Linked DNA regions of Xenopus tropicalis. The protein of the gene in region 1 interacts with the protein of each later gene in a pairwise test. Links are inferred from orthologs where the notes say so. Each region holds a gene or a part of one and is shown on either strand. Other genes may lie near its edges. The genes, in order: tmem159, gad2, cacfd1 and coq8a.

Region 1 (5,961 bases):
AAATTCATTAAATTAGCAGTTTAAAAACAGATTAATGGCTTTGAAATGCAGAAATATAATGTAAATTGAAATAGTGCTTTGAAGAGCACTGTGGGCAATTTTAAGTGTACCTTTATTTCTTCATATTTCCTTTAATAGAGCATTTCCTATATTTTAAACAGGAAGTAAGGAGGTGTAGCGCATTTTGGCCACCGGCCCACTACAGTACCCCCCTGAGAGGTGTGCCATAACCCAAAGCTCTCATTATACCACATTAAAATTAGAAGGAATGTTTAAAAGCTACCTTTTGAACTGCTTTATTGAAAGTTTCCTTAAAAATTTATTTAGCACCAGCCAGCCTTTTCACTTTCTGCTTTCCCAGCCAGTATAAGAAAAATGGCAGCACCCAGTAATTTGAATTATAGAATGCCAGTCAATTCCCAGTATCATTGGCTGATGATGATAGTGTTTTCACAAATGCTATATTTCCCCTTTAAAATCATATTTGTTGTAAACTTTTACTGCCAATGGCTCTAAATTGTTCTGTGGCAAGGGTCGTGGATCAACCTACCAGCTGGAGGCTGCACAAGAACAACAAAAGCTGCCTAAAATTAAAGTTATATCTTCCGCTGGCTAGAAGGCTCTTCCATGTATCTGTCACTGCGTCTGTAAAAAAGTTTTTCCCATTCATCTTTCAACCCTCCAACTTTAGACTGTATTCTATGATTTCAGCCATTATCTTCTTCTAACCTCTTAATCCCTATCTCATCAGGTCTATTAATTGAGCTGCCTTAGACTTTTCCTAAAGGTCAAATGATATTCAGTAACAATTGATCGCTTGGGCGTTTTCTGCCAGAAAAAAAAACAGCTAGATTAGTGTGCTTTAATTAGGAGGAAGAAGACACCATCAATCTTCCAGGCTAACAGCAAAAATACACTATAGGGAGTACATTATGTACCCTGCTCGTGATCTACTCCTGTAATGTGGCTGCTAATGTGGCTGTAATACTACAAACTTTAGTTTCTACTAACTAATATTGCCACCTGGGAAAAAATAACATTAAAGTGTTAAAATATAATGTGATCTGTCCCTTTCTTAACATGTATTGTAAGAAGGAAATATCTAACACATTTTGCCATAAAAAAAACTTCCAAAGCAACAAAAAATAACTCAAAAAGTATAACTCCTTAAAAGCTGAAATCAGTTTGTTGACCAGAACTTAAGGGTGCAGAATAAAATTACTTTATTTTGCCACACACACAGTCCTATTTTGTCACAGCTGAAGTAGTACTCACTCTACTTACCCAGTAGACTGCCTAGGGTTTCTCTGCTACACTAAACTTGATTCCCTAATGGTGAATCACACCAAGAGTACTAACCCTCTGAATATGTTGGCGCTTTATAAATAAATGTTAATAATAATAATAATTCCTTGGTCAGTGCTTCAGGTTTCCATATTAAAGGAGACATATTGGATAAATGGGAAAAACGCTTATTTTGTAAGCAATTGTGAATAATATACGCTGCTGGTTTCACTTTGTGCTAAAAATTAATCCTCTCTGTAAAAATGGCCCCTTTATTGGAGCTTCCTATAGATCGTATCACTTCTACGTCCAGTGTGAAATGAAGAGTGGGCGTGTCCTAACGGTCCCTGCCAGAAGCAGAGTAGGAGGGGGATAGCAAATCACAGCCCTGCGCTCACACAAGCACAGACAGGCTTCAGTTCCCTATCAGGTCAGCCTAGCTGCTGATTGGTTCCTATCCTACAGAGGCTCCCCAGCTCATCCAGAGAATTCAGGCAGCAGGAAGTGGAACAGATGGGCGGGGCTAGTGGGGTTTTTGTGGAATTTCACAATAAATCAGTCAGAAACACAACTTTTTAAGCACAATCCTTCTATATCTAGAGGAGTATAATTCATTGGTACATTCATAATTTTTATAGGATATGTCTCCTTTAAATCCCTGCAGCTATTTTTTTATTTCACTACTCTTAGAGGTAGATTTATGTATGTGTGAAATTAGAGGTCACCACAGATAAATTCTTTCTATTCAGTCCTATGGGATTTTTAGAAGCACATTTATTAGTGGGTAAAAGTTCGAATTCACAATTTGATAACTGAGCTTCCATTAGGTGCTGCAGATCAGCACTGAAAATCAGCCAGACTGAACTACTGGCTAACCCCGCCCCCATAAACCTGAGGCTAGGTAACCCTAGTTCTTTGTATTCACATTATATGTGTGTTTTCCTTGATAGGATACAATACAAGCACACCGGACTGCTCTGTCAGAAGATCCCCAAGTGGTACAGAACAACGCCATCAGGCCGCATAGGCTTTGGAACGGAGATGGGGGGGGGGGGCGTTAAAACTTCTGGCAGGGAATAGGACTAAACTGGGAAAAAGATTGAATGCCAACCCGCACCCATTTCCGCTAACCTAACTCCGCTGTTACAAGCAAATCCTATACGTTTATTTAAGTGCTGCTACTGCTGCAAGAGAAAAGCCAAATGCAGAAGCTTCCTTGCCTCTGATTAGTCACAGTGAATGTCAATCATTTTTTGATCCAATTAGTTTTTGCTCTTTTAGATGGGCAGTCCTGGAGAGAGCACAGGGGAAAGGGAGGGGACTGGGTGTAGCAGAGACAGAGAAAAGGCAAGTTCACCCGAAGGAAAGCGTTTCAAGTTACAAGTATGTGGCACCAATTGAGCTGTGTGTGTGTTTTAGTGACAGTGGAGCAGGAAAGGCAGCTTTTGTGTGCAACTTCATTGCTGATTAGTTCTGGTTTTTACTAGTAAACCTGCAGTCGTTTGCCAGGAGCAAGGGGGCATAATAACTCTGCACAGATACAGGAATGAAATAAATGAGCACATTCTGTTGTTATTATTATGTAGGGTTAAAACATTTCTCTGTTCCACCCCCACCTCTGCCAGGGACCCCTAATGAACCCAAAGCATAACATTATCTATGGGACTGGCCAAAGGCTTTCCCATGACAGTGTTCCTTTAAAGGAGAAGGAAAGTCATTTTGGTATTTTGCTGCCAATAGATTTGTCACATTAGTGCCACCTAGAACCTAGTTTTTTTAACTGCTGGGGTCAGCGACCTCTGTTAGCAAGAGGCAGAAGACATTACATTACATTAACATTTATTTATAAAGCGCCAACATATCCCGCAGCGCTGTACAATAAGTGGGTTTCATACATTGGACATACAGAGTAACATATAAAGCAATCAATAACCGATACAAGAGGTGAAGAGGGCCCTGCCCAAAAGAGCTTTCAATCTACAAAGACAAAGGCAAATGTTTAAAAACTATAAAAAATGAAGACCAATTGCAATTTTTCTAGGAATAGGACATTCTATAATGTAGTAAAAAGTTAATGTAAAGGTGACCCACCCCATTATAATGCTATGCTGATTAGTGTACATAGATATCCACATTCACTGTTGGGGAGGGGTCAGCTGTCCTGATGATTTGCCATAAGTTAACTGTGATATAATATAACTACACAAAGGAGAAACAAAGTTGTGGGCCTGTGCTTTGGGACAGTTGGGTGCCAGCAACACCCTTGCTGGTACACCGTATCACTTTATGTTACTTTATAATCTAACTGGCAGGAGGCAAAGTTGCATGGTGACCAGTTTGAATCAGCCTTATCACTGCAGTCAATGTTGGTTTTTTTTTTAAATCAAACATATGGGCTCATTGCCTTTCACTGTATATAATCTCTTGCGGTGCCAGAACACCCTGCCCATCATTTTATATAATGTAGTTAAGGTGTCAGTACCCACTGCTTTTACTGTGTGTAATATGTTTGGTGGGACAGTACCCATTTTGTCTATGTTCTTGCATGTCCGTAAACACTTTCCCTTCATATATATATATAATGTACTTGCGATGCCTCTTACTGTATATAATGTACTTGGGTATCATTACCCAGGACCTATCATTGTATATAATATACTTTTGCTGCTAGTAGCCATTTGTTTCAGTTTATGTAATGTACCTTGGATTGACAGTACCAATTGCTTTTTACTGTATAATCCACTTGTTGTACCAGAACTGTTCACTGTATAATGTATTTGGAGTTACTTTTTTATTTTATATTGTTTTGGGGTGCAGGATCTACTGATTTCATTGTATTGTTGTACCAGAACTGTTCACTGTATAATGTATTTGGAGTTACCTTTTTATTTTATATTGTTTTGGGGTGCAGGATCTACTGATTTCATTGTATTGTTGTACCAGAACTGTTCACTGTATAATGTATTTGGAGTTACCTTTTTATTTTATATTGTTTTGGGGTGCAGGATCTACTGATTTCATTGTATTATATGATGGTGATTGCATTGCCCATTTATCTTACACTATAACATGCTGGACATTACATTGACTGTTTACACCAGCTGTCTGCCTGGCAGTAATGCTTCCATTACATCCTAGATCTTAACACCTGTGGAAATGTGACATCTTTTTCATCCCTTCCACCATGCTGTTAGTGACAATTCCCACCATACAGCATTAAAAATGATTCTCAGAAGTTTCAGCCCTCAGGGTTGGAAATATAACTAGTGCAGAGTTTGTTTCAGTTTGCTTCAGCAATACAAAGCAAGCAACCAGCCAGCTGTACTTAAAGTAATCTTAATATCAGTTTGTTGTGGGTTATTAGAACTGGAGCAACATTCGTTTTTTCTACATTTTACCTTAAGGCTTGTAAAGACATGTGTTATTGAGGGTGTGACTTCGGACAGTGGGTGTGGCTTTGGAAAGTGGGCATGGCTTAATTTTTTCACCATACGCGCATAGCACACCACATATACTCCCCTTTAGGCCCCCCCGCCCCAAAACCATCTTCTGCTGCCTATGATCAGGCCTACTGTATATATAACATTATATCATATATTTATTTTCAAATTCAAATTGCATTGTGATCAATCTATCATCTGTCTCTCTAGATACCTACATGATTGCCCAGGGCCCAACCCACCAGCAAGTATAAGATGTGAATAGTTAGTAGGGCAAAACAGACCGGGAACAAAAGGCTATCAGGGTACAGCATAGCTTCACATCCACACTGCCCTAACTTTAGATTAGGTTGATATGCAAGTGCCCAGTCTGGCTGCCCCCAATATTTTGCAATATTTTGTGCTCACCAATAACATTTATATCCAAATTACTTTATACATTTAGTTAAAAGTTTTACCAACTAGAAAAAATTAGACCCCATGCCTCCCCAAATAAGGGAAACTGTTTTCTGTAAGTATAACTAACTATTGTCCAATCCTGCAGCATGATTAAAAAACCCTAACCCATAAAACCAACAAACATTAGCCAATACTGGAGGGGCCCAAAAAGTGATGTAACCCAATAAACATATTATGTATTCACATAACGCGAACTACAACCCCCAACATGACAACAAGTCTAAGTTGGGATGTTTAAGTCCACAAATACATAAATGAATGATGATTAAATATATTGGGATATCACATTCTGTTCATTAATTAATGTTCATTAACCCTTTGGTGGCGGTGTGTTGTGAATTACATGCAGTACATCTGACTTCCGAATCCAGGATCCTATTTGTGACAAATGTATTCAGTTCACATCTGTTCAAATGGTAGATATTCACTATATAAATATCCAGTTCCTATGCAAGGTGCTCAGATAAATTAAAGTGCATAATACGCCCGCATCAGCGAATACAAATATTGTTTACATCGGTTTGAGAACTCCGCCAGGCCAAACTCCAGTGACTGCGGTAGTGCGCTAATTTATCTCAGCATAAGATTTGTCCAAGGATCCTCTGGAACAAGTATATAATCTGCGTGTCCATCCAACCATACCAGGGAAAAAGAGAGGGGGCCCACCTCTTGATGGCATTTGTTACCACCTCGACGATTGTTTTGCCATTACAATGGCTTTATCAATAGGATCCTGGATTTGGAAGTTTGATGTATTGCATCCTATTCACAACACACC
Region 2 (5,844 bases), on another chromosome or scaffold:
TTCTGTGAATGCGGCGGGTTGGTCGAGAAAATAATGGAGTCATATCAGCCGAACGGTTTGCGACAGCATCACTCAGAGGTCCTTACCATCTGCAGAGAATCCATTATGAATTAATTCCTATAATTACCTCCTTGGGGCTGCTTTGTTACAGGCCCAATGGGACAAAAAAAACACATTTTGGGTGGGGGGGGGGGGCAAAAATAAAAAGCTACTGTAAAACACCAAGCACATGAGAATTAGTTCATGTTAATGTATTTATATCTATCTATCATCTATCTATCTATCTATCTATGTATCTATCTATCTATCTATCTATCTGTCTATCTATCTATCTATCTATCTATCATCTATCTATCTATCTATGTATCTATCTATGTATCTATCTATCTATCTATCATCTATCTATCTATCTATCTATCTATCATCTATCTATCTATCTATCTATCATCTATCTATCTATCTATCTATCTATCTATCATCTATCTATCTATCTATCTATCTATCATCTATCTATCATCTATCTATCATCTATCTGTCTGTATGTCTATCTATCATCTATCTATCTATCTATCTATCTATCTATCAATCTCTCTATCTATCTATCTATCTATCTGTCTGTCTGTCTGTCTGTCTGTCTATCTGTCTGTCTGTCTGTCTGTCTGTCTGTCTGTCTGTCTGTCTATCTGTCTGTCTGTCTGTCTGTCTATCTATCTATCTGTCTGTCTGTCCCTCTATCTACCTATATACCTGTCTGTCTATCTCTAATGTCTTGTCTGCCCATGTAGCTCGCTCTTTATCTTTATAGAGACAAAGAGACAGATAGATTGACAGACAGACAGAATTATCATAGAGAGATAAATGGATAGAGACATACAGATTATGGAATGACAAAGGGATACTGGCAGATGTTAGACAGATAGATGATAGATAGATAGATGATAGATAGATAGATAGATAGATAATAGATAGATAGATAGATAGATAGATAGATAGATAGATAGATAGACAGACAGACAGATAGTATAGTATATAGAGTATAGTGAGATAAGCAATATAGGGAGATATCTATCTGTCTGCCTGTCTGTCTATCTCTACCAGTCTGCCTGCCAATGTAGTTTGCTATTTATCTTTAGATTTAATGTATGTGTAATGCTTTTTTTAAATGTAGAAAAATGTAGTGCTCTTTTAATATATCATAACAAAAAATCTATTAAATCAAATTAACTAATATGTGTTTCTTGTAGCACTGAAAGAGGTTAGTCCTTGACACCCACTCCCTTTCTAAACCCCAAGCCCTGCCTGCGCTTCCGTCTATCTCCCTCCATCCCTGTTCCATCATGTGTAGAGCCAGTGGGGCAGAGGAATGGCAGAAGTGCCCGCGGGGCCCCATCTCGAACTGAGTGTATAAATCTGTTTTAGCCTTGAATCCCACGCTCTGCTGCTCGCCCAGCTTGAAACTGCACAAATGATCCCTACGTGACGTTTCTAATAAAGTCTGCTCCTGGCATTTTCAGCTTCCACATACATGATGTTGGGGGAACTCTTATCCTTTATATGTTCTAGTATCCATAATATGTTCCTTAATATATAATATAATATTTTCTGTTACAAAAAAAATAATTAAAAAATTAAAAAAAAAAAAATATATATATATGTAATATACATTACATTTGTATTCTGATCTTATTTTTGTAAATACAATCTCAACAGAATTGTAGCATCTATAGGTTTAAATCCATACAAATACATATACATATCCTACATCCACTTTGGTAAGGGAGAAAGACAACACAAATTATTATTATTTTTGACACCAAGAAAGGCACCAAAGCCAGAAGCAGCAACTGCCCCATTAATGCTTAAACCCAATAGAATTGCATGGCTTTCTTAAAAATTAGAGAGAAATTGGGGGAAAAAAGACATAATTGTGTGTGAGATGAAAAGAAAGAGAGGATAAGAGATAATGTGAGCCCATATACATACAGCTCAAGCAGGAGAGGAATTAGTTATAGTACATAGCACCATACCCTGTTCCTGACAGTATTTATATATATATATATAATTATACACTAGGTTAGAGTAATGTATATGAATATAAAAGGCTTGGCACAAGCAATGCCACAGAAACCCCTTTGGCGAATGTTCCCAAATACAGGGAAACAGAAGGACAGTGGCTGCTTTTCCATTTATGTGGCTGGATGAGCTAATGTTCCGCACCGTGAGCACAGAGCCAGGACTATTGTAATGTGAGAGGTTGGGGGGCCCCTGGGGAGCCTCCTGCTCACTAAGCAGCCATCACTATGTACTAAATAGCCCTAAGTAGCCCAAGTCCCAAGGCACCGGTTTAAATCCACTGCGGTCACAAATTAAAAAGACTTGTTATGGCTTCATCCGAAAGGAAAAAGTGAGGCTCATGTAACTACTGAGCAATAGGAAATATACAGACGCCCATTAACGCTGCTAGTAAAGCGCTTATAACCAGGTAAGGCTGATTCACTGCTGCCCCGGCGGTTAATGCAGTCGCTGCTACAAGCGATTATTCAAGGCGTGTGATGCAAAAGCGTCTTCCCCTATGAGTCATCTGTGATCTGTTTCGGTCTCCCATTGAGTGTGTGTGTGTGCCCCTCTGAGATCCGCTGCAATCTGCCAGCCCAATAGGTAGGTGGGAGCGATCAGGGAGGGCAGATAGCGGCTGCCAGTGGGAGTACATTGGGATCTGCTTGAGAGAAGGAGCAGTTTCAGCTTTCAGCACCGCGGAGAGTTCCAGCCCCTCAGCCCTACTGCCACCTGCCCGGCCCTCCGGCTCTTGTTTCTCTCCTCTGCTGCTCTAAGGGCTCCATCTGCTGCCCTATACCTGCCCGGCCCTCCGGCTCTTGCTTCTCTCCTCTGCTGCCCTATACCTGCCCGGCCCTCCGGCTCTTGCTTCTCTCCTCTGCTGCCCTATAGCTGCCCGGCCCTCCGGCTCTTGCTTCTCTCCTCTGCTGCCCTATACCTGCCCGGCCCTCCGGCTCTTGCTTCTCTCCTCTGCTGCTCTATACCTGCCCGGCCCTCCGGCTCTTGTTTCTCTCCTCTGCTGCCCTATACCTGCCCGGCCCTCCGGCTCTTGCTTCTCTCCTCTGCTGCTCTATACCTGCCCGGCCCTCCGGCTCTTGCTTCTCTCCTCTGCTGCCCTATAACTGCCCGGCCCCCCGGCTCTTGCTTCTCTCCTCTGCTGCCCTATACCTGCCCGGCCCTCCGGCTCTTGTTTCTCTCCATCTGCTGCCCTATACCTGCCCGATCCCCCCGGCTCTTGCTTTTCTCCTCTGCTGCTCTGGGGGCTCCATCTGCTGCTGATTTCTATGCTCCGGTCCAAGCCATTTTGCAGCCACCACCTCGCTGTCAGTTGGCTTCTCACTTCGGGGCTGTGAGATCGGGCACTCGGATGGCTTCTCCTGGCTCCGGATTTTGGCCCTTCGGGGCAGAAGAAGGGAATAAAGAAGCTGAAAACCCCGGTACAGGTAATGGGATACTGACATGTCCGTCTAGGGATGAACCGGGGTCGGTGACCCCTGAATGGGCAATGGTTGTTGGAGTAGGGAGACCGGATCACTTGCACATTCAGGGACAGATCTAAAAGATCCAGCTAGTAGGGCTGAACAGATTGCAGTTTCATTCAAACGCACTGCCCTGCAACATGTATTCATTAGATGTGTCCCTGATCAGGTCACCCTATGCTGGAGTGTAAGCTCATCGGCCCACTGAAGAAATGGGAAACAACCACAATTTATCTCAGTCTATAGAATGGGGAATTCTCTTATTAACTTCCCATTATCTACACAGCAGTCCTCTTAATGTATAGACTTAATTACCCCTATTATTGTGGCTTGGGAAGGAATATTTAACGCTCTATATTTTTATAGACATTTTCACTAACAACAGACCCTTCTCTGTAATCGTTTAATGCCCCAAATAAGGAGGATTTGGTAAATGAGCGCTAAATGTAGCATGGCGCATAGTCTTGTCTGTAACACCCGCTATTTGCTGTTTAATATTCCGGATCAGTACAGTTACTCTCCCTGCGTTACTGTCGGTATCATTTCGCTCTTTGTGTCTGTTTCAGCCAAGGCTTGGTGCCAGGTCGCCCAGAAGTTTACAGGAGGAATCAGCTCGAAATTGTGTTGTGAGTAAATGAACTCAGAACGAAATCGATACATATAAATCGTATATACACAGTGTTTGTGTCAGTATTCGTGTTGTGTATGAATATGGATTCGTATTGGAAAATATGGGAAACATTCTGTTGCTGTTCTTTCCAATGATATTTTGTGTTTTGGTGCCAATGTGACCCCTTTCTGTTCCCTGGCAGCTTTACTCTATGGAGAGGGAGAGAGAGCTCCGGGCTCTGTGGGCAAGAATGAGAAGGATGAGCTGGGCTCAGGGGAGAGGGGAATGGCATGTAACTGTGACACAAAGGCTTGTGGCTGCCGCAAGGGAGAAGCCAATTTCTCCTTATTATACTCTACAGGTACGTGCCCATCCCCAGTACTAACTGTCTGTCTGTCTGTCTGTCTGCTTATCGTTTATCTATCTGTCTATTATCTGTTTAAATCCTAGTATCTCTCTATGATCCATATATCTCTATCCATTTCTCTCTTTATAATTAATCTATCTATAAATTATCTTCATATATCAGTTTATCTCTCGATAATCTATATGTCTATTCGTTCATCTCTCTAATTAATCTATCAAATCCATCTATCTATGTACCTTTTTGTCTGTCTGCCTGCCTGTTTATATCCTTTTATCTCTCCATACTATATATATATATATATCCGTTTCTCTCTTTATAATTATTCTATTTATTTATTTATCGATCTATCTCTATCATCTATATATATTTTAGATGCCTCTAATCATTAAGGTCTCTGTAATTAATCTACAAATCTATCTATATTTATCGCATCTAACACTATCTATTTCTATTTATCTATCTATCTATCTATCTATCTTCTATATACTGTATCTATCTATCATCTATCCTCAGTCTATAATCTATTTATCATCTATCTATCTGTCCATCATCTATCTATCTATCTATCTATCATCTATCTACCTGTCTATCTGACCATCCTTACACCTAGGACGCTAATGGAAAGCCATTATATATATTTATATATATATATATATATATATATATATATATATATAGATAGATAGATAGATAGATAGATCGATAGATAGATAGATAGATATTTATGAATTTATATATATATATATATATATATATACACACACACACAGATAAAAAAAATGTCGAATAATAATTATTGCTATGTTACTACATTAACAGAATTGTTAACATAGTTTTAAAAGACACACTCGGTTCATCTACTTTGTCCCGTTCGGTTCTGAATATTTGTTAATCCCGCTGAGATTCCTTTCGCCCAGCAGATAAAATCTAACAGGGGAGATTAGGGGAAGCGACTACACAGCTGATAGATTTGATGCGACGCATCTTATCGGACTTGAAGTGTTGCATTCGTTTATCCCAAGCTCAGGAAAATATGTCAAACCCCAAAGGGCGACTAACAAGTCCAAGGGAGCGAATAATAACCTGGCGATTCGGAAGTGTAAACACAAGAGCGACTGTAGTTTTGATCTGTGTGAAAATCGCACCGCGATCTGTGAAAAACGCGCAGCTTCGTTTGTTTTCTAATTATTTTGTAGGAAAAATATATATATTTGTTTTAATATTTCGCCTCCGAATTTTGTTTTCCAGACCTGCTCCCTTCTAAAAACGGGGAAGGGGTAACGATGACTTTCCTGCAGGACGTGATAGACGTTTTACTGCAATATGTCGTGCAA
Region 3 (5,743 bases), on another chromosome or scaffold:
CGACCCTGTGCCCCCCAGTCCGACCCTGCACCTCCCCCAATCTGACCCTGCGCCCCCCAGTCCGACCCTGCACCTCCCCCAGTCCAACCCCGGGCCCTGCACCCCCCAGTCCGACCCTGCACCTCCCCCAATCTGACCCTGTGCCCCCCAGTCCGACCCTGCGCCCCCCAATCCGACCCTGCGCCCCCCAGTCCGACCCTGCACCTCCCCCAATCCGACCCTGTGCCCCCCAGTCCGACCCTGCACCTCCCCCAATCTGACCCTGCGCCCCCCAGTCCGACCCTGCACCTCCCCCAATCCGACCCTGTGCCCCCCAGTCCGACCCTGCACCTCCCCCAATCTGACCCTGCGCCCCCCAGTCCGACCCTGCACCTCCCCCAGTCCAACCCCGGGCCCTGCACCCCCCAGTCCGACCCTGCACCTCCCCCAATCTGACCCTGTGCCCCCCAGTCCGACCCTGCGCCCCCCAATCCGACCCTGCGCCCCCCAGTCCGACCCTGCACCTCCCCCAATCCGACCCTGTGCCCCCCAGTCCGACCCTGCACCTCCCCAATCTGACCCTGCGCCCCCCAGTCCGACCCTGCACCTCCCCCAATCCGACCCTGTGCCCCCCAGTCCGACCCTGCACCTCCCCCAATCCGACCCTGTGCCCCCCAGTCCGACCCTGCACCTCCCCCAATCTGACCCTGCGCCCCCCAGTCCGACCCTGCACCTCCCCCAATCCGACCCTGTGCCCCCCAGTCCGACCCTGCACCTCCCCCAATCTGACCCTGCGCCCCCCAGTCCGACCCTGCACCTCCCCCAGTCCGACCCTGCACCTCCCCCAATCTGACCCTGTGCCCCCCAGTCCGACCCTGCGCCCCCAATCCGACCCTGCGCCCCCCAGTCCGACCCTGCACCTCCCCCAATCTGACCCTGCGCCCCCCAGTCCGACCCTGCACCTCCCCCAGTCCAACCCCGGGCCCTGCACCCCCCAGTCCGACCCTGCACCTCCCCCAATCTGACCCTGTGCCCCCCAGTCCGACCCTGCGCCCCCCAATCCGACCCTGCGCCCCCAGTCTGACCCTGCACCTCCCCCAATCCGACCCTGTGCCCCCCAGTCCGACCCTGCACCTCCCCCAATCTGACCCTGCGCCCCCCAGTCCGACCCTGCACCTCCCCCAATCCGACCCTGTGCCCCCCAGTCCGACCCTGCACCTCCCCCAATCTGACCCTGCGCCCCCCAGTCCGACCCTGCACCTCCCCCAGTCCAACCCCGGGCCCTGCACCCCCCAGTCCGACCCTGCACCTCCCCCAATCTGACCCTGTGCCCCCCAGTCCGACCCTGCGCCCCCCAATCCGACCCTGCGCCCCCCAGTCCGACCCTGCGCCCCCCCAGTCCGACCCTGCGCCCCCCCAGTCGGACCCTGCGCCCCCCCAGTCCGACCCTGCGCCCCCCCAGTCGGACCCTGCGCCCCCCAGTCCGACCCTGCGCCCCCCCAGTTCGACCCTGAGCCCCCCAATCCGACCCTGCGCCCCCCAGTCCGACCCTGCGCCCCCCCAGTCCGACCCTGCGCCCCCCCAGTCCGACCCTGCGCCCCCCCAGTCCGACCCTGCGTCCAACTAAAAATCAGGCAGAAATCGGTTCCTTATTATTTGCTTTTCCCCCTCAGATTCGGGACATGAAATCGCTCAAATCCACGGGATTCCATGGGAACCACTTGTTCTACTGGGAGTCGGCGGGGAGTCGGGCGGAAATAGAATTTCATGGCGATTTCTCTAAGGACCGAGTCAGTTTCCGGGCGCAGTACTGGGCGCGGGCACCGAGGCTACAGGGCAGGGGGCGCCCCCCGGTGGAATGACGCCCGATACACCATCGCCACGGGAACCTATATAGTCACTGTAATCGCTCATTATCTGTTTGTTTCTAAAGGGAAAGCTTAAATATATTATTTATATATGCGCCTCCGTGTCCCCGTTATTACTGACCCGCTATATCCCACAGCGCCGGGGGTGTACGTGGGGAATACAGGGTAAACGGATTATATATCTATGGGTTCTGTCATTTCTGGCACTAAACAAGGATATGAAGCCACATTAGCACTTCCTGATCCAGAAGAACTAATAAATGTAATCACCAGTCCACTGAAAAGCCCCTGATAATAAGCTGCTCAGAGGGCGCTGCTTATAGACAGTTCAGAGGCAGATAAGGGGTTAACCAATTGCCCTGTATATATATATATATATAGTAACTGTTACACTGTAGGGGAGAGAAGCTACAGGGGAAGGACAGAAGGAATAAATAAGCCGAAAATCCCTTAATGGGAGAGTTTTTACCTCAGGGAAAGGCCCGCCCACCTGGGGCAGAGGGACACGCCCACACAACGGGACGCTATGGCGGGGGGCGGGCTCACTGCGATGACCTCATTGCCAGGGTCCCGCCTCTCTGCCAAGAGGTTTCCCTCCCACAATGCAGTGCGGGCCGGAGTGACGTGGAGTCCCTGGGTCAGACCGGCGGAGAAGGAGCCCGGATAGCGGGGCGGTGAGTGCGGCGGGGAGGGTGCGAGGGGCTCCCGGTACCGGACTCCGGTTCTACTGCAACTTCTCTGGGCTTGGGGGGCGGGGCGTAACGGTACCGAGTGTCACAGCAGAACAAAGGGCTGGGGGGGGGAGGGGTTACAGAACAATAGGGGGGGGCACACAGGGCAGGGGTATATAGCACAATGGGGGGGTCACACAGGGCAGGGGTATATAGCACAATGGGGGGGGGGGCACACAGGGAAGGGGTATATAGCACAATGGGGGGGTCACACAGGGCAGGGGTATATAGCACAATGGGGGGGTCACACAGGGCAGGGGTATATAGCACAATGGGGGGGCACACAGGGCAGGGGTATATAGCACAATGGGGGGGCACACAGGGAAGGGGTATATAGCACAATGGGGGGGCACACAGGGCAGGGGTATATAGCACAATGGGGGGGCACACAGGGAAGGGGTATATAGCACAATTGGGGGGCACACAGGGCAGGGGTATATAGCACAATGGGGGGGCACACAGGGCAGGGGTATATAGCACAATGGGGGGGCACACAGGGCAGGGGTATATAGCACAATGGGGGGGCACACAGGGCAGGGGTATATAGCACAATAGGGGGGCACACAGGGAAGGGGTATATAGCACAATGGGGGGGTCACACAGGGCAGGGGTATATAGCACAATGGGGGGGCACACAGGGCAGGGGTATATAGCACAATAGGGGGGCACACAGGGAAGGGGTATATAGCACAATGGGGGGGGCACACAGGGCAGGGGTATATAGCACAATGGGGGGGTCACACAGGGCAGGGGTATATAGCACAATGGGGGGGGCACACAGGGCAGGGGTATATAGCACAATAGGGGGGCACACAGGGAAGGGGTATATAGCACAATGGGGGGGTCACACAGGGCAGGGGTATATAGCACAATAGGGGGGCACACAGGGAAGGGGTATATAGCACAATGGGGGGGTCACACAGGGCAGGGGTATATAGCACAATGGGGGGGCACACAGGGCAGGGGTATATAGCACAATGGGGGGGCACACAGGGAAAGGGGTATATAGCACAATGGGGGGGGCACACAGGGCAGGGGTATATAGCACAATGGGGGGGGCACACAGGGCAGGGGTATATAGCACAATGGGGGGGGCACACAGGGCAGGGGTATATAGCACAATGGGGGGGGCACACAGGGCAGGGGTATATAGCACAATGGGGGGGCACACAGGGCAGGGGTATATAGCACAATGGGGGGGTCACACAGGGCAGGGGTATATAGCACAATGGGGGGGGGTCACACAGGGCAGGGGTATATAGCACAATAGGGGGGCACACAGGGAAGGGGTATATAGCACAATGGGGGGGCACACAGGGCAGGGGTATATAGCACAATGGGGGGGCACACAGGGCAGGGGTATATAGCACAATGGGGGGGGCACACAGGGCAGGGGTATATAGCACAATGGGGGGGTCACACAGGGCAGGGGTATATAGCACAATGGGGGGGCACACAGGGAAGGGGTATATAGCACAATGGGGGGGCACACAGGGCAGGGGTATATAGCACAATGGGGGGGCACACAGGGCAGGGGTATATAGCACAATGGGGGGGGGTCACAGGGCAGGGGTATATAGCACAATGGGGGGGCACACAGGGCAGGGGTATATAGCACAATGGGGGGGGTCACAGGGCAGGGGTATATAGCACAATGGGGGGGGTCACACAGGGCAGGGGTATATAGCACAATGGGGGGGGGTCACAGGGCAGGGGTATATAGCACAATGGGGGGGCACACAGGGCAGGGGTATATAGCACAATGGGGGGGGTCACAGGGCAGGGGTATATAGCACAATGGGGGGGGGTCACAGGGCAGGGGTATATAGCACAATGGGGGGGCACACAGGGCAGGGGTATATAGCACAATGGGGGGGGTCACACAGGGAAGGGGTATATAGCACAATGGGGGGGGTCACACAGGGAAGGGGTATATAGCACAATGGGGGGGTCACACAGGGCAGGGGTATATAGCACAATGGGGGGGGCACACAGGGCAGGGGTATATAGCACAATGGGGGGGGGTCACACAGGGCAGGGGTATATAGCACAATGGGGGGGGCACACAGGGCAGGGGTATATAGCACAATGGGGGGGCACACAGGGAAAGGGGTATATAGCACAATGGGGGGGGCACACAGGGCAGGGGTATATAGCACAATGGGGGGGCACACAGGGAAAGGGGTATATAGCACAATGGGGGGGGCACACAGGGAAGGGGTATATAGCACAATGGGGGGGGTCACACAGGGAAGGGGTATATAGCACAATGGGGGGGTCACACAGGGAAGGGGTATATAGCACAATGGGGGGGGCACACAGGGCAGGGGTATATAGCACAATGGGGGGGGTCACACAGGGCAGGGGTATATAGCACAATGGGGGGGCACACAGGGCAGGGGTATATAGCACAATGGGGGGGCACACAGGGAAAGGGGTATATAGCACAATGGGGGGGGGCACACAGGGCAGGGGTATATAGCACAATGGGGGGGTCACACAGGGCAGGGGTATATAGCACAATGGGGGGGGCACACAGGGCAGGGGTATATAGCACAATGGGGGGTTACACAGGGAAGGGGTATATAGCACAATGGGGGGGCACACAGGGCAGGGGTATATAGCACAATGGGGGGGCACACAGGGCAGGGGTATATAGCACAATGGGGGGTTACACAGGGAAGGGGTATATAGCACAATGGGGGGGCACACAGGGCAGGGGTATATAGCACAATGGGGGGGCACACAGGGAAGGGGTATATAGCACAATGGGGGGTCACACAGGGCAGGGGTATATAGCACAATGGGGGGGGGGCACACAGGGAAGGGGTATATAGCACAATGGAGGGTCACACAGGGCAGAAGATATATAGCACATTGTTGGGGGGGGTTACACAGGAGTAGAATATGTATAGATGGGGGGGGCACAGTGATTAGTGAGGATAGGAGTGAATGGTATAGTAGGGGGGCTCATAGAACAGGCAGTAATAGTCCAGGTGTGAAAAGGGGGGGGTGCAGTAACACGGGGCAATAAGGGAGTGGGGGGGGGGGTGTATCGCTCAGGCATGGGGTGGATATTACACTATGGGGCCGGGGCGTGGGGTACCAAATGAGCTGAACTTGGCTCAATAGAGGGAAGGTGGGGGGACCCCCGGAGAGGGGTTG
Region 4 (5,922 bases), on another chromosome or scaffold:
AATGGGAGGGATCAGATAGGATCTGTGCCACTGTGACAGAATGCTCTGTTATACAGATAGCTAGAATCTCAGCCATAAAGCAGGGCAGGACTGCTGCTTACAATGGGAGGGATCAGATAGGATCTGTGCCACTGTGACAGAATGCTCTGTTATACAGATAGCTAGAATCTCAGCCATAAAGCAGGGAGGACTGCTGCTTAAACTCCCCTAGATAAATATGAAATTGACAGACCGTATAAGAAACTAGTACATGGTTTCCAACCATAAATGCAAACTTCAGCTTTTAATGACAGTGCCATAAATTACTGACCGTGACCACAGTAAATAACGATAGCAGGTACTGTTTAATTAACGGGTGAATAAATCTTGTCACCAGCCAAGGCTTCCCCCCCCCCCCCCCCCCACTAGGCCTTTACATAGAGATAATGACATATATGCCCCAGATATCCAGCAGTGCTACCTAGAAAACCAGGTAACTACGAACGCCTCACCCTGGCACCTTGCTCAACAGCTTCTCCTTATAAACACCAACCGCACCCCTTCCCAGCAGGCACAGCGGCACTTTACCTGCAAGCAGCCTTCTGCCAATACGCACTAGTGACGCTTTGTTTTTAATCCGACTAGCCAGCAACCTGCTGCACAGGAGTCACATACATTAACAGGGATCTCTAGTTATTTGAAAAGAAAGTAAAGGACAAGTCAACACAGAACATAAGAAAAGAAAGCAAAATTCTAAGCAACTTTGCAATAGACATTCATCACAAATTCGTAATGGTTTTTGAGTTATTTGTATATATAATTGATATTAGAAGTAATGTTTGTCCTTTTCCCTCTTGAAACAGTGTAACACAAGGCAGCAGCCTGACAGACCTGACTCGCTGGGGGAGACTGACCCCTGAAACAGTGTAACACAAGGAGCAGCCTGACAGACCTGACTCGCTGGGGGAGACTGACCCCTGAAACAGTGTAACACAAGGCAGCAGCCTGACAGACCTGACTCACTGGGGGAGACCGACCCCTGAAACAGAGTAACACAAGGCAGCAGCCTGACAGACCTGACTCACTGGGGGAGACTGACCCCTGAAACAGAGTAACACAAGGCAGCAGCCTGACAGACCTGACTCACTGGGGGAGACCGACCCCTGAAACAGTGTAACACAAGGCAGCAGCCTGACAGACCTGACTCGCTGGAGGAGACCGACCCCTGAAACAATGTAACACAAGGCAGCAGCCTGACAGACCTGACTCGCTGGGGGAGACCGACCCCTGAAACAGTGTAACACAAGGCAGCAGCCTGACAGACCTGACTCGCTGGGGGAGACCGACCCCTGAAACAATGTAACACAAGGCAGCACCCTGACAGACCTGACTCGCTGGGGGAGACTGACCCCTGAAACAATGTAACACAAGGCAGCAGCCTGACAGACCTGACTCGCTGGGGGAGACTGACCCCTGAAACAGTGTAACACAAGGCAGCAGCCTGACAGACCTGACTCCCTGGGGGGAGACCGACCTTTGCAACAATGTATAAAAAGTAACAACCAGGAGTTCAGCAAATGCTGCTCTCGATAGCAATTACATTTACAGGTAACTATTAAAACACTGAAAAATAATAACTCCATATTAGAATAATGTTTCCTTTTATTAGGCAAAAACTTATTTGTGGGGTTAACATGTCCTTTAAATTGCAAGCAACTTTCAATATAAATTAACAATATTAGGTTTGAAACGTATTTGAAAATGCAGGGTAAACTAGCAGAGAGACTGAGAAAAGCAAGTTTAGAAAGGCTGAGGAACCAACCCCACGGCTTAATGTTTAAGCAAAACAAAAGGAATGCGCGGGGTTAAATATTGATTAATATTTGATTAAAGACTCTCACATGGGAGAAACATTTCAGCTGCTTTACTCAGCACCAATAGAGTATTTGTTTGCATGCACGGCTGTTTGTGACTACTGAGAATATATAGCAATAATGAAAGGGAAATATCCGACTCTGAAGGAGATTTGCACACGAGGAGCATTAGGTCCCGCTGGCCGCTGTGCTGCACACTCACACCCACTTACTCACAGCCAAGGGAACACAAGCGCCTTTCCATATGTTCAGCCTGGGCTGCACGCTGGGCACAGACATAACGACCAAGCGCAACAAATGCAGCCGCACACACTGTGACCCCTGACACTATCAGAGGGTGCAGCTGGCAATGCGCTTGGGTTATAGGGTCCCTCGCACTAATACCATATGGAACACGGGGGGGGGACAATAGATCGTTAGGCACAAGGCTTCATTGGCCTTTCTGTATTGCAATGGCCGACTGAGAGCCCCCAATAAACTGCCAGTTCATGTGCCCTTGATCAATAGCCACTCACTGGGCCCTGTTTCCCCAGTAGCAGCCCTGGACCCCCCCCCCCCCCTTAGCTTACCTACATTAGCTACTTACCCCCTAATTACTCAGAACTGATGCCTAAATCCGGGGGCTGGTCACTGCCATGGACCCAAGAGCTTACTGACCCGCTCTACTATCCCACACATACATATACACACACACACATATACACACACACACGCAGTTATTTGCCCCTGGGAGAAACGCGGCCCATCTCACATACAGCTTGCAATTAACCCCTGCTTTCCCTCACACATGCCCTAACTTGCCCCTTGCCTACTCACCCCATGCCTATTTCCCCGATTACTTGCCCCCCTCACATATGCCCCAGTTACTTGCCCCCCTCACATATGCCCCAGTTACTTGCCCCCCTCACATATGCCCCAGTTACTTGCCCCCCCCACATATGCCCCAGTTACTTGCCCCCCTCACATATGCCCCAGTTACTTGCCCCCCTCACATATGCCCCAGTTACTTGCCCCTACCTCCCCACAAACACCAATTCCTTGCCCCCTGCCTACTCACATCAACCCCAAATACTTACCAATCCTTCATCTCACAAATGCCCCTAATTACTTGCCCCCCCACACACATTCCTCCTGTTATTCCCCCCCACATATGCCCCAGTTACTTGCCCCCGCCAATTATTTGCCCCTACCTCCCCAATTCCTTGCCCCCTGCCTACTAACAGAGGAGCCTTGCTTCTCACACTTGCCCCCTGCTACCCCACACTTGCCCCCTGCTACCCCACACTTGCCCCCTGCTACCCCACATACACCCTATACCCCTAATGATGCGCCCCAAGTTCTCACACACCCCTTACAGTCCCATTCACATGTCCCTGTTTCCTCACATAGTCCCCAGTGACCTGCCCCTATATTGGGACGAGTTCCCCTTTAAGCTGGCGGCTTGATCTCCCCGTTAGCAGCCCAGAATATACGGGGTGCCAGACGGGACATTACAATGAGACAGCGGACAAACTTGCCCACACACAGCTGAGGCGCCTCAGGCCCGCCCCGCACAGCGCTACGGAGAGCCCCAGTACCTGCCTGGGCGCCGCTAGCCGTGCTGGAAGCCCCGGGGAGTCGGTGCCGCGGTTCCTCTCGCTGCTTCTCAGTCTCACACGCGGTCCGGACTGTTTACCAGCAGCGCGCACCCATCCTACCAGCGCACGCTGTCCCGCCCACACTCACGCCTTCCTCCGCCTCATTGGCTAATCAACTGAAAGCTGGCGTGTGATTTGTCCTTGCAGCTGTCAGTCAGTCGCGTTAGTCAAATGCAGAAGGGGAACAGAATGTGGGTGAGGCCAATCAGCCTTCAATAACACGAGGTACAGCCAATAGGAAGGCGCGTTGGGCGGGTCTCCCAGGTGCTGCGTTAGAAACATCAACATGTTGTGCAGTTTGGCCTGTCCGCTGGCCCCGCCCCGACTCTTTGCTGAGGTATAGCGTGTTATGTGCAGCTCCCTTGGTATTGCAAGGGGCCCACCTTAGCTTTGTTACTGGCGATAGAGTATATTATATACAGTGTCCATGGTATAGCAGGGGGCTCACGCCCACCTTAGCTTTGTTACAGGGATAGAGTATATTATATACAGTGTCCATGGTATAGCAAGGGGCCCACGCCCACTTTAGCTTTGTTACAGGGATATAGTATATTATATACAGTGTCCATGGTTTAGTATGGGGCCCACCTAAACTTTATTACTGGGGATAGAGTATATTATATACAGTGTCCATGGTATAGCAAGGGGCCCACGCCCACTTTAGCTTTGTTACAGGGATATAGTATATTATATACAGTGTCCATGGTTTAGTATGGGGCCCACCTAAACTTTATTACTGGGGATAGAGTATATTATATACAGTGTCCATGGTATAGTATGGGGCCCACGCCCACTTTAGCTTTGTTACAGGGATATAGTATATTATATACAGTGTCCATGGTTTAGTATGGGGCCCACGCCCACTTTAGCTTTGTTACAGGGATAAAGTATATTATATACAGTGTCCATGGTTTAGTATGGGGCCCACGCCCACTTTAGCTTTGTTACAGGGATAAAGTATATTATATACAGTGTCCATGGTATAGTATGGGGCCCACGCCCACTGTAGCTTTGTTACAGGGATATAGTATATTATATACAGTGTCCATGGTATAGTATGGGGCCCACGCCCACTGTAGCTTTGTTACAGGGATATAGTATATTATATACAGTGTCCATGGTATAGTATGGGGCCCACGCCCACTGTAGCTTTGTTACAGGGATATAGTATATTATATACAGTGTCCATGGTTTAGTATGGGGCCCACGCCCACTGTAGCTTTGTTACAGGGATATAGTATATTATATACAGTGTCCATGGTTTAGTATGGGGCCCACGCCCACTGTAGCTTTGTTACAGGGATATAGTATATTATATACAGTGTCCATGGTATAGTATGGGGCCCACGCCCACTTTAGCTTTGTTACAGGGATATAGTATATTATATACAGTGTCCATGGTATAGTATGGGGCCCACTCCCACTTTAGCTTTGTTACAGGGATATTGTATATTATATACAGTGTCCATGGTATAGTATGGGGCCCACTCCCACTTTAGCTTTGTTACAGGGATATAGTATATTATATACAGTGTCCATGGTATAGTATGGGGCCCACGCCCACTTTAGCTTTGTTACAGGGATATAGTATATTATATACAGTGTCCATGGTATAGTATGGGCCCACTCCCACTTTAGCTTTGTTACAGGGATATTGTATATTATATACAGTGTCCATGGTATAGTATGGGGCCCACGCCCACTTTAGCTTTGTTACGGGGATATAGTATATTATATACAGTGTCCATGGTATAGTATGGGGCCCACGCCCACTTTAGCTTTGTTACAGGGATATAGTATATTATATACAGTTTCCATGGTATAGTATGGGCCCACGCCCACTTTAGCTTTGTTACAGGGATATAGTATATTATATACAGTGTCCATGGTATAGTATGGGGCCCACGCCCACTTTAGCTTTGTTACAGGGATATAGTATATTATATACAGTGTCCATGGTATAGCAAGGGGCCCACGCCCACTTTAGCTTTGTTACAGGGATATAGTATATTATATACAGTGTCCATGGTATAGCACAGGCCCACGCCCACTTTAGCTTTGTTACAGGGATAAAGTATATTATATACAGTGTCCATGGTATAGTATGGGGCCCACGCCCACTTTAGCTTTGTTACAGGGATATAGTATATTATATACAGTGCCCATGGTATAGTATGGGCCCACGCCCACTTTAGCTTTGTTACAGGGATATAGTATATTATATACAGTGTCCATGGTATAGTATGGGGCCCACGCCCACTTTAGCTTTGTTACAGGGATATAGTATATTATATACAGTGCCCATGGTATAGCAGAGGATGAAAGTGCCCTGGCTGTGTTCTGTGGTACAGGGATGTAGTATGTTGCACACAGGCCCCATAGTATAGGAGATAAATACAGGGCACCAGATCTGTGGTATGTTACAGGCCAGG

The links.
Region 2: the proteins of tmem159 (region 1) and gad2 interact in binary tests that used the Homo sapiens proteins (3 or more experiments, as listed by UniProt). The two-hybrid records come from large-scale screens. The link is inferred for Xenopus tropicalis from reciprocal best matches to the Homo sapiens genes LDAF1 and GAD2.
Region 3: the proteins of tmem159 (region 1) and cacfd1 interact in binary tests that used the Homo sapiens proteins (3 or more experiments, as listed by UniProt). The two-hybrid records come from large-scale screens. The link is inferred for Xenopus tropicalis from reciprocal best matches to the Homo sapiens genes LDAF1 and CACFD1.
Region 4: the proteins of tmem159 (region 1) and coq8a interact in binary tests that used the Homo sapiens proteins (3 or more experiments, as listed by UniProt). The two-hybrid records come from large-scale screens. The link is inferred for Xenopus tropicalis from reciprocal best matches to the Homo sapiens genes LDAF1 and COQ8A.

What each region holds. Positions count from the first base shown.
Region 1 is NC_030685.2:24,678,795-24,684,755, forward strand, and holds the start of tmem159 (promethin), read left to right. Parts: upstream 1-2,555; 5' UTR 2,556-2,631; exon of another isoform or gene 2,632-2,667; intron 2,668-5,961. UniProt on the Homo sapiens protein: Plays an important role in the formation of lipid droplets (LD) which are storage organelles at the center of lipid and energy homeostasis. In association with BSCL2/seipin, defines the sites of LD formation in the endoplasmic reticulum.
Region 2 is NC_030682.2:25,292,598-25,298,441, reverse strand, and holds the start of gad2 (glutamate decarboxylase 2), read left to right. Parts: upstream 1-2,517; 5' UTR 2,518-3,421; coding exon 3,422-3,497; intron 3,498-4,099; coding exon 4,100-4,159; intron 4,160-4,345; coding exon 4,346-4,504; intron 4,505-5,758; coding exon 5,759-5,844. UniProt on the Homo sapiens protein: Catalyzes the production of GABA.
Region 3 is NC_030684.2:5,078,326-5,084,068, forward strand, and holds the start of cacfd1 (calcium channel flower homolog), read left to right. Parts: upstream 1-2,415; 5' UTR 2,416-2,521; intron 2,522-5,743. Other genes in the region: adamts13 (A disintegrin and metalloproteinase with thrombospondin motifs 13), read left to right, coding at 1,653-1,841. UniProt on the Homo sapiens protein: Transmembrane protein which mediates synaptic endocytosis and fitness-based cell culling.
Region 4 is NC_030681.2:7,741,295-7,747,216, forward strand, and holds the start of coq8a (atypical kinase COQ8A, mitochondrial), read right to left. Parts: upstream 3,579-5,922; 5' UTR 3,435-3,578; exon of another isoform or gene 3,431-3,434; intron 1-3,430. UniProt on the Homo sapiens protein: Atypical kinase involved in the biosynthesis of coenzyme Q, also named ubiquinone, an essential lipid-soluble electron transporter for aerobic cellular respiration.